Arabidopsis thaliana: one gene and its partners. The protein of the gene in region 2 interacts with the protein of the main gene of each other region in a pairwise test. Each region holds a gene or a part of one and is shown on either strand. Other genes may lie near its edges. The genes, in order: AT3G21330, HB20, AT4G35610 and WRKY8.

Evidence for each region.
Region 1: the proteins of HB20 (region 2) and AT3G21330 interact in a two-hybrid assay, tested with the Arabidopsis thaliana proteins (one large-scale study listed by BioGRID).
Region 3: the proteins of HB20 (region 2) and AT4G35610 interact in a two-hybrid assay, tested with the Arabidopsis thaliana proteins (one large-scale study listed by BioGRID).
Region 4: the proteins of HB20 (region 2) and WRKY8 interact in a two-hybrid assay, tested with the Arabidopsis thaliana proteins (one large-scale study listed by BioGRID).

Annotation. Positions count from the first base shown.
Region 1 is NC_003074.8:7,505,336-7,509,749, reverse strand, and holds AT3G21330 (basic helix-loop-helix (bHLH) DNA-binding superfamily protein), read right to left. Parts: upstream 2,511-4,414; 5' UTR 2,180-2,510; intron 2,047-2,179; 5' UTR 2,031-2,046; coding exon 909-2,030; 3' UTR 564-908; downstream 1-563.
Region 2 is NC_003074.8:71,607-76,096, reverse strand, and holds HB20 (homeobox protein 20), read right to left. Parts: upstream 2,791-4,490; 5' UTR 2,499-2,790; coding exon 2,360-2,498; intron 2,284-2,359; coding exon 1,898-2,283; intron 1,138-1,897; coding exon 802-1,137; 3' UTR 558-801; downstream 1-557. Other genes in the region: AT3G01210 (RNA-binding (RRM/RBD/RNP motifs) family protein), read right to left, coding at 2,938-3,396, 3,471-3,569, 3,640-3,715, 3,800-3,915. UniProt on the Arabidopsis thaliana protein: Probable transcription factor.
Region 3 is NC_003075.7:16,898,706-16,902,247, forward strand, and holds AT4G35610 (zinc finger (C2H2 type) family protein), read right to left. Parts: upstream 1,564-3,542; 5' UTR 1,521-1,563; coding exon 705-1,520; 3' UTR 551-704; downstream 1-550. Other genes in the region: CST (Protein kinase superfamily protein), read left to right, coding at 1-9; CYCB2;2 (Cyclin B2;2), read left to right, coding at 3,039-3,102, 3,194-3,329, 3,414-3,473.
Region 4 is NC_003076.8:18,800,619-18,805,804, forward strand, and holds WRKY8 (WRKY DNA-binding protein 8), read right to left. Parts: upstream 3,439-5,186; 5' UTR 3,284-3,438; coding exon 2,817-3,283; intron 2,025-2,816; coding exon 1,884-2,024; intron 1,158-1,883; coding exon 785-1,157; 3' UTR 546-784; downstream 1-545. UniProt on the Arabidopsis thaliana protein: Transcription factor. Interacts specifically with the W box (5'-TTGAC[CT]-3'), a frequently occurring stress-responsive cis-acting element. Functions as a positive regulator of salt stress response.

The DNA of each region.
Region 1 (4,414 bases), 7.4 Mb from region 2:
GTAAGTGTTATTGCGAATAAATAAAAAGTTGATAGTCAATGTACCCAAGTCAAAAAAACACATCCATCAAAAGAACTTCATAAAATACTATTAAACGAAAGAGAATGTGATTAAGGAGATTTAGGGACGAAATAAGACAAAAACCAAAAGACAAAAAAGAAGAATAAAAAGATGGAGAGTGAGATAGAGAAGCATGTGGTGAGCATTTTAGGGTGTACGAGTCAGGTGAAGTTATATTCTCAAGGTGCACGCCTTCAACATTCTTAACTCTTACTAAACTCCATCCAAACTATGTTTTGTATTTGAGCCAGACAAAAAAACACTTATGTGAAAATAAAATTATAAGACAATAATAAGTTCTTCCACTAAAATCGTTTTTTTATATGGATAAGTAACACAAATTAAATAACCTTGCATTATAGATATACGAAATTTATACATATTTTACAGAGACAGACAGAGTTTATTGAGTACCAAAAAAAGAGGATGAATATTAATTTTATATTTTAGTACTCCAAAAGAGTTCTTCAAGTAAAGCTAAACTTTTTTAAGTAGAGAGAGATGGAGGCACTTTCTAAACACTTTTGTTGATAATCATCGCTTCATAATTGCAATTATCTTACGCTATCTTTACTCTAATAAAGTAATAAAAGGTTGAAAATATTGCAGAGACTGTAATTAACCTCTTGCGGCTCTGTTTTTCACAATATTTCAACCCTCGAATTCCACAGATTCTATATAAAATACAAACTTTATATAAAAAGAAATGCAAAACAAAGACTGGAAAGTGTAAACAACACTGCCCGACACCACCCTTGTCACAGAAGTTGCCTTTCTTGAGAACTGCTAAAACAATCAAGACGCCATGATTCTGTTGATGATGATGAAACTCAAAAGTTTATAATCTGTCAACACTCTGGATGATGGATTTGATTAGGATTTTGCAATGGAAGAAAAGATGGGTGGAATAATGGAAACGATGTAGGAGCAGAAGAGAAAGAGAGATTGGTTTGGTCAAGCTTGGGTCTCAAGTTTTCTAAAGCTTTTACTTGTGCTCTAAGGAACTTGAGATAATTAGCAGCTTCATCAAGCATTGATGCAGTATCCATCTTCGTCCCACCTGGAACCAATGTTTGTAAAACCCTAATCTTCTCACTTATCCTCTCCCTTCTCTGTCTCGCTGCAACCGTTTGAGGATCCGTCGATATCTTGACGTTCTTCCTCTTAGGCTTCTCCACAATCTCTAACCCGAAATTCACCGGTCTAAATGCAGCCGCTCTGTATATCATCTCCTTCATTTGTGCAATCGCCTCAGCATCGGGCTCGACATTGTCAGACAAACAAGTTGAATGTTGGAAACTAATGTTCGAAGAACCGCCTCGTTCTTTCTCTGTTCTTGGTTTCTTTGATTTCGATTGATTCTCATCGTATATAAGCTTGAAACCTCCTTTCTCCGAATCATCTTGAGGATGAACAAGACTAAAGTGACTTCCTGTCTCGTCTCCTCTGTTTCTCTTCAAAGACTTAGGTTTTGTTGTTGTTGTTGTAGTCTCAGTAGTTCCTCCATCTCCTCCTCTGTTTCTCTTCAAAGGCTTAGGCTTTATCGTTGTTGTCGTCTCAGTAGTGATCTCTCTGTTCTCAGACTCTGCAGATGAGACTCCACCAAAGCTCCAAAGAGTCTGACAATCTGAGAAAAGCACAGATATTCCTTCATCGTCCTCCGTCGAGGTGTTGTTGCTATTCGACGTCGCAGATAACAAACAATCGAGTGATGATGGATCTATCGAGCTAGCTCTGTTGCCAACATGTTGCTGCTGTTGAATCTCACCTAAGACTCCAAGATCAGACATGAAACAGCTGCTAAGATTCGGATTAATGAGTTGGTGGTGATAAGAAGAAGAAGAACAGAGTTCTCGAGCCATTAGCTCATTTCCTCCCCAAATCAAATCTGATCCTTGATGCTCCATGATTTTGCTCTCTCGTGTCATTCCATACATAGCTTGAGCGTACACAGATTCCAATCCTTCCATCGGATCAAACACAATCCTAAAAACACCCAAAACAAAGACAAATGTGAGAGGCATACTTAGAAACAGAGCATATTTGTAAACAGACATGAAACCTAAATATTTCTTGTTACATGCAGGGAAAAATGATAAAAGCTGATCTTTAAACCAACCTCGTTGTAATAACGGCAGGACATGAAAAAGTGAAACCGGAAGAAGAGAACAAACAGATGAGTTCACAGGAAACTCTGAGAAACGTTTCTTCTGTCTTAAAGAGATGACACCCAAAAAGGGAAAGAAAGAGAAAACAGAGGAAAGAAACAGAAAGAAGAAATGCTCAAAAAGGAAAGAAAGTAAAACAGTCTGTAAATGAGGTTTATTTCTGTGCTGTAGACTTAGAAAGCTCTGTTTCTGTTCTGTTCTATAATGAGCTCTCTGCTAGAGTTATAGATAGTTTCTGTAAGAAAAGACTTGAAAGCCCTATACACCCCTCCTACTATTCATACTCAGATTTGTTATTATGCACATATTTATATATAGAATAAATATTAAATATATTTGTATATTTATTATATATATATAATAGTATTATTTTTAAAAAGGTCCCAACTTTCGATGAGATCAATTGTTCCTCTGTATCAAGCACTAGTTCTGTACTTCTGTAAATTGGTATGGATGGTTAACTTTAAGAATTAGGATTAGTGTAACTTTAAGAATTAAATCCCTATTTTGATATACTTTAAAACATATATATGAGCGCCGTCAAAGGAAAAAAACTTTTAACTAGTATACCGGTAAACTAATTAACTACTCAAACGATTAATTTTTATATTTTACTTTTGAGTTAGGTAATTTTTTTACCAAATTTTATGATGATCAAATCATTAATGGATGCGATTTAGATGATTTAACTATTATTTCCAGTGACATGCATATGCAAACTCGAATATGGAACGTTATCGACACGTTAAATTGAAGACGCCGGCGGCGACAACTTTACTTTCGTAGAAGATGAAACTATTGAAGTTGATCTCGATTAATTTTGCGATATATCTGATATCTCTAAGTGAGATTTTGTTGGATAATAGATACACGACTATCAAAATTGAATTTAAAAGTTGTCACCGAAACTAAACGTTAGAGTTTACAACACTCCCGAATCTAAACTTAAAACATCTCCTAAACCGGATTATTTAATAATTTCTTAATCCAAAATTATTTAATTTTTCATGGTCAAAAATAATGTCACACGCGCAAAGAGAAAAGTGAGATCACTGATTCATTAACCTAAAGCTAACCGAATGATTTGTATTAAAATATAGAAAATAATCTAGACGATTGAATTATATATTTATTTAAATGAGGTTGGTGTGCATAATAGTTTCTGCAATCGAAGAGCATCTTTTTTTGAAACCCTAGAAAATAGATATAATACTTGATAAAAATCATAGACTATATGATTATGCACTTGATGAATACTGAAAAGGGATATGTAATTAAAAATCTACGAGTGCTTGAGCAGAGAAAAAGGACTGACAATCCTTTTAGCGTCGTGCGAACTGAAAACTTTAAGGGAGAGATCGAAAGAAAGTTTTAGGTTTTGGATCTTTTATTTTTTGGTGAATAACAGATTAATGTTGATTGTATATTTTATTTTAAAAATGATCAAGCTGTAAAAGTAATTCATGATTCTATTATCTATACCATTTTCTTATTCTTTTCTATGTGTTTGTTTAATTTACCTTTTCGCTATCATCATCAGTCAATAATGATCAATATCCTCATCTCGATCTATCTAGCAACACTTTCTTGTATAGTTTATCTTCATTTCTTTTGGCTAGAACGTGTTATATAAAAATACCAAACACTCTTTTTGTGGATTTATTTGATTATATATAATCATGATATCATATATAATCGATGTGGAACACTTTTTGGAGTAGTTTTCGAAAACTTTGTAATTTCCATATACCAGTAGAGAAGTACATTATTAGTCGCTTCTTATTTCCCAAGTCGTTCCTCCTTAGGCTTGAAATAACCAACATTCGAGAACCTAAACCAATAACGCCAATATAGTTTTATTGTATATTTGTATGAACTTATATCTTTACTATGTAAGAACAATTTGTAGTAGTATTTATAATTTGAGATACTAATTGTAAATTTTGAACATTCTTTTACAATATTGATAACTTTCTAGTTCCTATTTTTATTCAAAGTCGTCACTAATCCACACTAATCCATTAGTAGTTTAACCGTCACATAAGTCGGTGATCCGTCTATAATAGTAAAAGATCATCTTAAAGTTAACAATTTTTTTTTTTTGATGTTTGGCAATGTCAAATTAATCGGTTATAGTTACTACAAATTTGTTGGTAATTATTAACTAGTTTTTCTTCGTAAATGAT
Region 2 (4,490 bases):
CAAAATTACTACCATTGAATAGATTCATTTCACTCAAAACAATTTTGAACCAACAAAGAATAGATATGTCTATGTAGATGAAGTGAACGTGAATACTGTATTTGGTATTACATGCAACTACGTGACGCATGGCATAGTTTTTTTTTTTTTTTATAATAAAAAGTTAATGGTTCCATTAATCCATTAAGATTTAAATTGCAACTTGCAAAGATAAAATCATAAAATATAAAATATATATTAAAATAATCTTTGCATATAATATTAGTCATGGATCATGTTATGTCAAAGACAGAGCTGGAATCCCACTCGAAGTCACATGCATATGAATCTTTCTCACTTTTATATCCTTACTTTCTTAATAAATTTGTACCAACCCATCATATATATATAAAATTGGACATATAAGTTGAGAAAAATCATGATTTTTAATCTCACTCAATTGGTTAGAGGAGAGTTTTGTTCGGGAAGTAAAAGAGAGTGGTTATGCTTTTTTGAACCATTTACATATATTGTAAACTGTGATCAATCCACATACATCTAACAATGTTACGGCCGAATGCAAAGAACTTTATGATTTTTATTAAATTAAAGCAACAACAAATTTTCGCACTATACACCAATGCTCTACAAACCCAAAGAAAACAAAATGCTCCATTAATTTAAATTGAAATGAGTAGCAATAACATAATTCCAAAGAGAAGAATTGTGTCTTGATCTTCTCCTGATGATATGATGATGATGATTATGATCATTTGTCTTGATGCGTGCTGATGACTTTTTTTTGAGCTTTAGAATCATGAATCAGTTGAACTGGTGGTGGTGGTGGTTGTGGTTTGGGTCAGACCATGCCCAGTAACCAGCCGGCGTCGTTTCATCAATGCCATTAAACATGTTACAAAGGCTTTCTTCTTGAACTATTTCATGATTCTGATGATGATCATCATCATGTGCAGATGATCGAATCGATGAAGGGAATAGGTCTTTGATCGTGTTCACATGTGTTGTAATGGTCTCTCTAGGCATCTCCAGATTGATGTCTGAACTATTCTCTGTGCTTCCGTTGTTGCTCCATGAAGCTTCTGCTTCTCTCTTTACTATGTTTCCTTCATTACATTCTTTGTTCTTTAAAGCCATTACCTTTAACCATCATCACACACAATTCAAATGTTAAGTTTTAGAAATTCAGATATTAAAAATTATCATTTCTATATATCATTAAAATAAACATAATTATATATAATTTAAATTAACAAAATATTTTTAAAATGACTAATAACTTAAAATAGATAAACTGTAAGACTATATATGTAAATTATATATTTACATATACTTAGCTTAAGTAATTTTTGAAAATCTTGTAACTATTACATTTCAATAAGTAGTAAAATCATTTAAAACACACAAAAATGATATGATATAAAAATCAGTATTCTTGTCAAATTTGGTTAGCGCACACATGCCATTACTTGATAGTCATATGGGAATGTATTAATTAAATTGTAAATATTGATCAAGAATCCTTTTTATTAATAAACAAAACACCTACTGTCTTTTGACAAACATCTTATAGTGTTGGATCATGTGCCTAACAATAATCTATTGCATTTCGTATTAAACGACTTTAATACACACAAGATACATACATATATATATATATATACACTGATATATATACACATATATATATACTACATAAATAGTACCAATCCAAGCCAATAATCAGAAAAATATTTGTAGTCCTAGATTTATTTTACGTTGGTTATTACTATTAGTGCAAAACCAAAAATAAAAAAACCAAAGAAAAAAACAAACACAATCAAATTAGAAATGAAAGTTGAATTAAACACCTTATTTACTATATAAACACACATATATACTTACTTATATAGATACATACCTCAGCAAGGAGTTTCTTGTTATAGGCAAGTAGAGAAGCATTGTCGGATTTAAGAGACTCAAACTGTTTCTTGAGTGAATCATAATCTCTCTCGAGCTGTCTAGTCTTCCACCTAGCTCTCCTGTTTTGAAACCAAATCGCGATCTGTCTTGGTTGCATCCCTAATGCTTTAGCTAGTTGTATCTTCCTCTCTGGCTCCAGCTTGTTACCAAGCTCAAAGCTCTTCTCTAATGCCTTAACTTGCTCTAATTGCAGCCTCTTCTTCTTCTCTCCCAGCATAGTATGTGCCCCATCGTCTGATAGATTCTCCTCATCCAAGGTTTGATTATGATCTTCTTGCACGTTCATTAAAGACATAGATCTGTTCATCATGTAGTTTCCTCCTCCTATATACACCAACAGAATTCATGACTCAAATCTATTTATGTGGAGAAATAGTGAGAGAAAGAGAGAGTATAGTACCATTGAAGAGATGAGGAGGACAAGAAGGGAGCTGATCTTGACTGTTGTCTTCATGAAGTTGTTGGAACATAAAACCATGTTGAGGAAACGCCATCTCTAATCTCAATCCAGCTTCTGTTGTTGGATCAAACACATACATGTATGTATTCCACCAAAAACCTATCAGTGATTAATGGATTGTGAAATCAGTATAGTGATGATCAAATATACTTTGTTGTTTGCAGATTTGGAAATCACTATCAAATGAGTTAGGTGTTTCTTGTGGATCTCATCAACCTCTCATATAAGAGAAAGAGAGAGAAAGAATGAGGAAAGGATCAAGCTAGGGAGGTTTCTAGGACCCATCCTTAATATTTTAAAAGCTTTAGGCTTATTATTATATTTCATATATATTCTCCAGTTCATGTAATAAAGTTATTTTATAGTTTCTGCCTCAAATATTTTCGATCATGTAACGTTACTAATCATATCTTCATGATGGTTTTTTTTTTCTTTTTCTTTTCACAACACCTTTTATGCTTTAAAACCTCACATATCATTTATTTATGTTTTCCAAGGAAGCCCAAAGACTTTTTACATCAATTGCTTCCTCCTCCACCGATATGGGCCGCTGCTTTTGCAGCCCGGCCCAAAGCATCTGAGAACCATAAAGCCCCATTAGCAAAGTAACGACTGTTGACCACACTAGTCGCTGCAGCTGCAGCCACTTTCCCTGTAATGGTGGCTGCGGCTACAGCAGCTGTGCCCGTGACAAGAACCGCGGATTTAGTGAAATCCGAGAAATGATACTTCTCGTCCGCTGATCTCACGAGTTCCATACTCGACTGAATGTTCTGTGTGAGGCCAAGGTAATGGCTGATCTCTGCCAATTTGGTCGCTACCAAGCTTGAAAATCTCTGAGACTCATCCAAAGCTTTGGCTTTACCAATCGCGTCTTTGCTTAAAACGTAGCCTTTAGCTAACATCGTCTGCACAACTTGTTGAGCCACGGTTATGGCCTCTCCAGGCGATGAAGCAAACGCGTCTGAACGAGTCACCTACAAAGAAACATTTTCGAGAATCTTTGGCTTATAACCTAAAGTAACCTAGTAAGTATTGTTTTTAATGTTACCGTAACACTATAGTCTTCTTCTTGTCTGAGATTGTTAGATTCATGTAAATAGACACCGTAGACCGATATCCAAACGGTTTGATCAACGATCGTAGCTCCCTGAAGATCAACATTAAAATCAATGCCAAGAAGATCATACTGGAAATTTCTAGCTAATTAAGGGACTTACGCTAAGTAACACAGCCATATCCAGAGCATACGCATCTCTGAAGGTTACATAAGCCGTTAATGCATCCCCTTGGCACCTGAAATCCATGGAGACATGAAACAAAATATAAACAGATTCAAGAATGATTAATAATTTACTGAACAATGAACGTTGTTGTTACCCGGTGATTTCAACGAGCTCGACGATACCACAGTGAGAGAAGAACCTATGAACATCTTTCTCAGTGGCTTGAGGAGACAAGTTGGTGACTTGAGCAACGTAACCACAAGGATACATTATATTGTTCTGTTTTCTCACACGAACCTAGATACCTAAATCAAAGAACAAACATAAACAAGATTCTTGAATCACATTCCGTGAACCGTTGAGCGATTTTCTAGAGATTTATACAGCAAGAAATCTACAAAGCTACGATTACTATAATGATTCAAATAAAAAAAATAAAAAAGGTGTCCAGGCCAAATAGTTAGCGGAGAGGGAAGAAAGAAGAAGTAAGAACCCTAGATTATAATTGAATGAGATAAGAGATGAAAGTAACAGTAACAAAGATAATCAATGAGATATGTATCAACCAACCACACAATCGGAAACTTCGAGAAGCAGGGCACGAAAAAAAACTGATAGTGTATGTTCTGTTTTAGATTACCCGATTAAGGCACAATAGAACAGGACGTCACAGGATTGAAGCCAAGTATCGAAAGAGACGGAGAGAAAAGAAGACAAGATTCGTGTGATTGTGAGAGAGAAAGAGGATTCTTCAAATTTAAACAAAAAAAGAAAGAAGAGGAATGTTAACATTTAAACCAAAAAAGAAAGAAGAGGAATGTTCACATAATTTTTTTTCTTTTGTC
Region 3 (3,542 bases), on a different chromosome or scaffold from region 2:
GAAAAATAAATAGTTGTTTGGTATCTTTTTTTTCCGGCGGTATGAAATGATTTTAGAGTCTTTATTGTTTCATTCTCTTTGAATTAATTCTTGAAAGGTTTTGTGTATAATACTGTTTCTTTTGTAATTCTAGATAAATATTTTCATTCTATATATATTTTTTTAAAGTCTATGTTTACAGAGTTGATATTGGTAAAAAGTTTGAGAAAGTTTCATACAAAAAGAGGATAATGATGTCGTTTTTCAAAGATTGGTGAACATTTGATGGCTCTGAGAAGAATATTTTATTGCCAATTGCTATTTTCAGATTTAATTATAGTGGGATTTGGACAAAGTATTATCTTCATTTCAATCATTTAGATCCTGACAAAGGTTTCCTTTTATGATCTTACACATTCATTTTTCCTCTGCATTATTTGCATGCACTGGAAGTTGTATGTTTTTTGTTTACTATTCATTTTGATGTTGAATATTTATATAAATTTATTTGTACTTTTTCACATTGTTGCAGATTAAAATGGTGTTAAGAAATAAAAGTTAATATTAGGTCCTTTAACAAGATCTTCCTTTTCTTCATTGTTGCAAAACATTACTAATTCAAAGAATCAACATAATGTGTTAGATAAATATATCAAATATGAAATATGAAAATAATAACTATACTATGTGTTATAGTAAATTATTAAATAGTATGAAAAAATCTTTCACTTGGGTTTGTCCTCTTCCTCTTCATCTTTTGGTGGAGATTTATTAAGATCGAACTTGGCAATACATCCAGATTCAGTCGCTTCCTCTACTTGCTCCACAGGTTCCACATTCAAATCAATACCTGAACCTCTCCCACCTTCAGATCCTGGCGCATCACCACCACCACTGCCAGAAAAATCACCGGAACTTCTTCCTCCTACCGCTACACCACCAGAACTTCCTCCTCCGACAGTGGCAATAGTAAAAGCAGATCTTAGCCCGGGAATCACAAACCTTTCAGCCCCCGCAGAGAATGTAGGAGGAGGAAGAAACCCTTGATAGTTTCTATCTCTATGAGCCCTCATATGCCCAAACACTGCCTTCCACGAACCGAAACCTCTTCCACAGATATGACAAACCGGTGGTCCTTTCGGTGGATGAGTCAATTCCTTTGCTTTCTTCTTCGGCTTTTTCGCTTCTCCTTCACCCAAACCATCCCCTTCGTCATCGGTTTGCGTAGATATCCTTGGTCTACTCTTTTTCTTCCCACCACTCCCACTTCCCTCATTCATTCCTTTCATAACCGCTTCCTCTGCCGCAGCCAAAATCAACCCCGCCGCAAGAACCGCTTGCTCATTCAAACGCGCTTTTTCTGCATCTTCCTCAACGACACTACTACTCTCTCCAAATATTCTACTGCTGATATTCAAAGCAGGGAGGCCGAGAACAATTTCTCTCATATTGGTTTCTTCATCGCTCCATTGCTCATCAGATTCCTCTTTCTCTTCCTCAGTAACATCCACTTTCGTTTTCTCTGGGTTCGGATTACTCATACTATTTTCGCACTTTAGTCTAGGGATTGATGTTTCAAAACGACATTGAATTAGCCCTTATATAAAGTTTTCTCTGAACCATGGCGGTTATGACAGTTAATTCCTCTCCCGCCTTTTCGTTTGAAGATTTGCATCCGTCGTTTGTGATTGGTCCGTCCTAAACTCTGATATTACGTAAATTTGGGCTTAATATCGTATAAAGCCCATTACTAGCCCATAAGTTATTCGTACTTGGTAGGTTGGTTCAAGAGTTTTTCTTGTTTTCTGTTTGTAATCGTTTCTCGTGCGTTTTTGGTCATCGAGATTGCAAGAGTCGTTGCAACTGCACTAATACTATTATGCATGTGACATCCGACAATGACGTGACTTGTAAACTTTTGTTTTGACATATTTTTTCTTTATTTATTATTACAATAACATTATCATTTTTTTTTTTTGGGTGGAAACATTATCATTTTTATTAGCCATTCTTTATTTATTCTATATGTTTTTACTATTTAAAATTTAAACATTGATGTATACCGGTAAACATAGTTTTCAATGTCAGAAGGAAGCTCTTGAAGCTATGTAATAAATCACAAATACAACAAATTGCAACACCAAAAAAAACTAATGTAACCATTGATGTGTGATATATGATATAGCGAAGCCGCAACTGTCTTAAATATTATTTTGAATAATATCTACACACTAGACTCTAACTAAACGTTTAACAGTTTTCTAAAAATGCAGATATAAAAAGTTATCTAAAATATTTCACATATTTGAATAAGAAATTAGAAACACAATCACCTTTTGACCATTCTAAGGAAATTCAATTACAATAACTATGACCAGAATCATCTAGCCTAATTTTTGATATTCTCTAAATTAAATATTTTTAAAAAGCTTGACCAAAAAAAAAGAAATGGCAAGAACACTTACTACAGAGTCAGCATAATTCTCGGTAACAATAATTCTTAGGAAAGAGAGCAATTCTTAGCTCTGTAGTAAAACACAGATTAATAAGCTAAGATTAAGATTAAAGAATCAATATGTTGACTTTAAGATCTTAGAGCCGCGCCTTACGGAGGCTCTGGCTAGTGGTAACGAGCCTTCTTTGTCTGAAAAAGGCAACAAAAAAAACACAAAAAAGGAATAATAAATTTGAAATGAGAAAGAGAGAGCCACCACACACACCACATGGCCAAAAAAGTTACCGTTGGGTTTAGACAGACTTAGAAACAAATCGTTTCCTTCATGATCCAACGGTCATCTTAATCACCTAGCCGTTGCTATTTCCTTCAATAATAAAAAAAAATAAAATAAAAAAAGGTAGCAACTTTAATTTTAATTGATTTGATTTAATTTCTCTCTCTCGCTTATTTCATCCCCTTCTCTGACTCCTACTGATTCATTCAATTGCATCAGACGTATACACAGAGTCACAGAGAGAAGAGAGATCCTTCTTCGTTTGATGCTCTTCTTCTTCTTCTAGATTCTTCTCCAGGAGCACTATCAAATCGAGTAAAATAAACAATGGTTAATCCAGAGGAGAACAATCGTAATCTCGTTGTCAAACCCATTACAGAGATTCTTCAAGGTAGTAGTAGTAAAACGCCTTTGAAAAATCTGAGAATTATAGGTCTGACGAACAGAGAGTCTGATGTTGTTTTGTTTCTGGGTTTTGTCAGATGATGATAAGAGAAGCAGAAAATTCGGTGTAGAGATGAAGAGACAGAACAGGAGAGCATTGGGTGTGATTAATCACAATCTCGTTGGTGCAAAAGCTTATCCTTGTGTTGTTAACAAGAGAAGAGGCTTATCTCAGTAATATACTTAACTCTCTCGAATCCTAAAGTTTGTCTCTTTGATTCTTGGTTTTGGGATTTTGATGATTATTTTCTTCAATAGGAGAAAACAAGAAAGCTGTGACAAGAAGAAGCTTGATTCATTGCATCCGTCAATTTCAAGGTTAATAAAGTTTAAAGCTTTCAAAAACGTTTCTTTTGCTGAGAAAGAGAGATCTGATGTTATTTGAAT
Region 4 (5,186 bases), on a different chromosome or scaffold from region 2:
GTGATATTATTAAACTAAGAAAGTAATAATTCAATAATATAAAAGTTATTTTATCTTAATTTGTGTGCAAAACTCAAAACATCAATCAAACTTCATGTAACAGAGAGAATATCTAATATATACGATCACACTCGTTAGGTTGGTTCCTTAATTCTTACGCATAATCAATAAGTGGTCGGACGACGCATGAGACGTACGAAATTAAAATGAATTTCTATGTAAAAACCTAGTAATTCGTTGAAATGAGTGAGTGATTTGGTACAAATCTTATATATTGCATGTTAAGATATATGCTATGAGGTACAAAATTCATTTTAATTAAACATCCATTCATACATTTTATATTTTACGTGAGGCTGTGATCATATATTCTTCAGTTCGTTCTAATTATACCTTCTAGTCTAAATCTCCTTTCAAACACCCAAAACGTTTTATTTGCTTTAGTATTCGACTATATATTAGATATGAAGTTATGTCATTCTCCTCATTAATTGTTAATATATAAAGCAACGAATGGAAAAGAGAGAGCCATGAAGGATCTTTGCTTCCATATACAATATGCATGCATGTAACAAAATTACTCCATAACAAAAATTATTGTAATAAGTCGAAGGGACTCCATATTTATGCTTAATTACTACAGTATATCCTATAGCTAGTTAACAAAACATGTATAATATATACATGCAAAAAATAAATAACACTATCATCACTTATTATGCATCCAAGTTTTGTTCTATATTTCTTAGCAGAAAAAAAATTGTTTCTATATTATATTATATCATCAAGGCTCTTGTTTGAAGAAAACCGAAGGAAACATCTCCTTCAAGAGCTCGAACTCACTCTCCTGTTGATGAAATCCATGTTGCTGTTGATGATAACTAGGGTTCACGTTCACACTAGCGTATGGCACACGGAAGAGATCATCATTTGAGAAGCTTCTTGGAGTATTGATGATGAGATCGGAGAATATTGGAGACGATGATGGGTTATAATCAGATGCGGTGGTTCCAGAGAACATTGCTGTCCGACGATTGGTCGGGATCGGATGGTTGTGTTGACTCTCGTAGGTTGTGATGACGACCGTTGGGTCTTGGTAAGATCTCTCCACTCTCTTCTTCACGTTGCACTTCTGAGTCGTGCATCTATAGTAACTCCTGTTCATGTAATTGAAATATAGTATATTGTTTTAGCATGTGTGACTTGTAATGTCGGTTACAAAATTTAAATTTTCTTCTTTGTTATATAGTTATAAACTTATAATCTATAGGTTATAATAAAACAAGCTAAGTGATGGACTTTTCAAACAATGTTAGAGTCCATATCATGATGAATGGTAAATACAGGAAACAATTTTTCACAAAGAACTTGACCAAAAAACTGAAATATCTGTATCGATGTGTAATAAATGATATAAGAAAAACAAAACTGAAATAATTAGAAGAATAATTAAATTGAATGATATGTATATGTGAATGTGAGCAACCATCATAATAGCATTTTCAAAAAAATAAAACAAATCACATGATGGTATAAGAAAAGTTCTTGTTTTAAAATTTCTGGTAACTTGAAAATTATTGTTTGAAATATAAATGTAAATATAAATCCAGAATTAGTTAAGTTGAAACAAAAGATCAAATCATCAATAAACAAAACTAAAATACAATATTCAAGGATTCTTAGACCTTGGTTGGAGAGAGATAAGTGAAAGAAACAAAAGTTCAGTTTATTTTAGTTTTTCAAATTGATAAATAATGCTTAAGATTTGAAAAAGCCAAAAGCTAAACTCAAAACTACATTTTGCGACATTTTGCCATACTTAATCTATTTTCGTATGTAATAATCGATCAGTTAACAAATTATATATTGACCGAATAAATTACCTCGGATAAGGACTGTTTTTGACTGCTTTTTGGCCATACTTTCTCCAACGATAGCCGTCTTCGAGATGATCAACTTCGGTCTTAGTCATGAACGAGACTCGTGGCTCTTTTTTCTTCTCCTCTTTCTTCTTTGTTTTAACTCTGGTGAACCATATGTTACTGATCAATTAAATCAATACTTAACTAAGTTGGACCATCTTTAATTAATGGCACCGTACCGTACATTTGACTTTGATTCATTGAACTATATTAAACTAAGATAAGCATCAAATGATTGTTAGGACATATGACACAAGAAATACAATAATCTTAAGGTGTAGTCTGCCAAAAAATAAATGGGACACGTCTTTTTGTTTAAGTGGTTTCTTTAGGGATAAGATTTATACATCAATAATTATAGGTACGAACAAATGAAATAAATAATCTTTGAAAACAAAAATCAGGATAGAATCTCAAATATTAAATTGTATTACAGAAAAAATATGAACGAAATAACTTGAGTTGTCATTCTTTCAATTATGAAACTTAAATTCTACCTAAAAATATTAATGTAAAATTAAATATTCACAAGTACATATATACTTTTATCAAAATTTAAATCTCGACGTTGTTCTTAAAGATGTCATTTTATGGCATGCAAACTATATACTTTATGTTAGTCTAAAAAAATTGAAATCAGTATTGCTTAGTTAGTTCATGAAAATAATTTTCAAGCAATGAAAATAATTATATTTGATATGGGCCTCAAAGTGAAAAACAAGAAATGTGTTTTTTTTTCTTTCTCGTAATTAAGATCAGAGAAGTTTTTTTTTTGTTATTTGGTAAATAAAAGCAAAAGAAATTAGTCAAACTGATCATGATTCATGTGAATTCTAAATATATTTATCTTGCTTAACTAAGTAATTTAATTAGGATAACACTTATGAAACTTACACTTTCTGAGAGCGTTGATCATCTTCTCCTCCATCGCGAACTTCTCTTTTCTTCCGGATCTTGCCGGAATCTTCTCCTGGATGATGATCGGCCTCACTTGAAGAAGGAGATGCTGAAACCCTAACTTCACTCTTAATGGTTGCACAACCATCACCGACAACTTCATGACTCTTTTGACTACTATTATAATTATAAGCATTATACAAACCGTTCTCTTGATCGAGGGAAGGATTAAAAAAGTCAGAAGAAGATGGAGAAAGCTCGAAACCCAACTCGAAGGCTCCTTGAGGACTCAAGTTCTTCGAGGGTAGATCAAAACCTACTTGTGATGATGAGATCATGTTTGCATTATAAGCAGATGGACCAGAAACGTAAGGGAGATTAATCATATTTTGGTTGTTGATATTGTAATGATTATACGATGAAGTGTAGTGATAGTTGTTAAGATCTTTGATTTCATGAGACATGACGAAGAACAAAGAGAAAAAACTTAAACCAAAAAGAAAGAAAAAGAAAATGACAAAGAGAGGAGCGTGAAGAAGAAGAAAAGAAAGAAAGAAACAAGAACTTTTTTACGTTAATGAATTTTTTAGTCGGTCTAAATTTGGTGTTAAGACTTTTGGGTCTTCTCGTATTTATGCCTTTTGAAAATATATATTATTTTATGTCTTGCTAAATAAATATAGTAAATGGCGTTTTAGCATATTTTATTTTGTCTTAGATATATACAAATCTAAGGTTGAATGAAAGAGTATTGAAGTGTGAATGATTCAAAAAGAGTTTTGGGGTTTGAATGACTTTTATTGTATTTTTAAAATAATGATAACTTTTATAAAGTTGAGTTGACAAGATGCGTTTTACCTCCCAAATCGAGAGTTACAAAAGTGGCCTCGAGTGAGGAAACATATACTTGTCATTTTGTTTCTTAAACGTTTAATGTGAACATGAACATAAAAGGAAAAGCCATTTTATCATCATAAAGAAACTTCTTTTAAGTCTGACTCTGACCAAGTAAAACCTGAAAAGATGGTTATTTTTTTACCTTTTTAAAGATGTTTGGGTCTTAAAAGTAAATGTTTAGTTATTTACCATTTTTTAGATTGTGGAATAAGGTGGGAACAAGCTTTGTTGTAGAAGAAGGCGATGATGCTGACTAATAGTTAACCGGTAACCGGAAATAGTCAGTCTCCGGTCATCTTTATGTGAAGAAGGAAGAGCCAAGTCAAAAAGTCAAAGAGAATTGTGGGGTTATTAGGATGACACGTGTAATTATTGGCACCGGCATTTGACCGTAACCGACACATTACCTGGCACGTGGTGGACTACTGGATTTGTGTTCTCAAACCCTAATAAATATCAGACGTTAGTCTATCAATTTAATATTCCACCAAAGTCAAGGTGCAAATGCGACAATGTTATACATTACATTATATTCCCGTGTAATTTCGACCTTAGTTACAACCAATTTACATGAAAATCTTAATTTTTATAAAAAACAATATACAAAATGAAATTTCTTATCAGGTGCTTAAATCCTTTATTAAAGTGATTCATATTGTAATAAGCTTGGCTAATAGCAAGGACGTTAAAGAAAGATTATATGAATCATTTTGCATTATGTATAGGTTTAGATTTTATCTGTTGAAAAGAGAAATATGATCGAAATACTGACGATTTACCAACGTCATCACGATTCACGCTGCAGAATCTCTTTTCAGTTTTCACATTAGAACTTTCCCCAAACATTAAAGGAACGTTAGAGTAATAGAAATAACTAAATATATGAACTACGGTCAAATATCAATGCTTTAATATTTAATACATTTTTTTTTTGTCAACAAAACAAATTATTTTATTTTGGGATAAAAATGTGAAACATGATCGAAAATATATAGGAAATGAAAAAGAAAAAAACAGAGAGAGAGAGACATGATTCCTAACCGAAAATGACAATGAGAAGTGAACAGAAATTGACTTTACATAGGTACAGTCAAATACCTATTTTCCTTTTATAGATTTATACCTATATAATAATGTATACTTATAAACTGTTCATGTGTCTGGATTTTTTTGTTCAAATTACGAATCTCAGCTTCATGCGATCTGAAAAAAAGCATTATGCATGCAGCTGATAGGAATACTTGATTAAAAAGTTTGCTAACCCTTGTCCCTTTATCAAAAAAACAAATGATATAAAGATTTAAATTGCAATTCTAATGTTTCCGAAAAATGCGAATAATGATGAAAAACGTTTTCAAGACAAAACTACGATTCAAGATTCTCGATGGCCCAAAGAAATTAAAGCAACTCAGCCATGATGCTCAAAGGACCAAAACTTCAATAACTACTAGCTAGTTGTTTTGAATACAA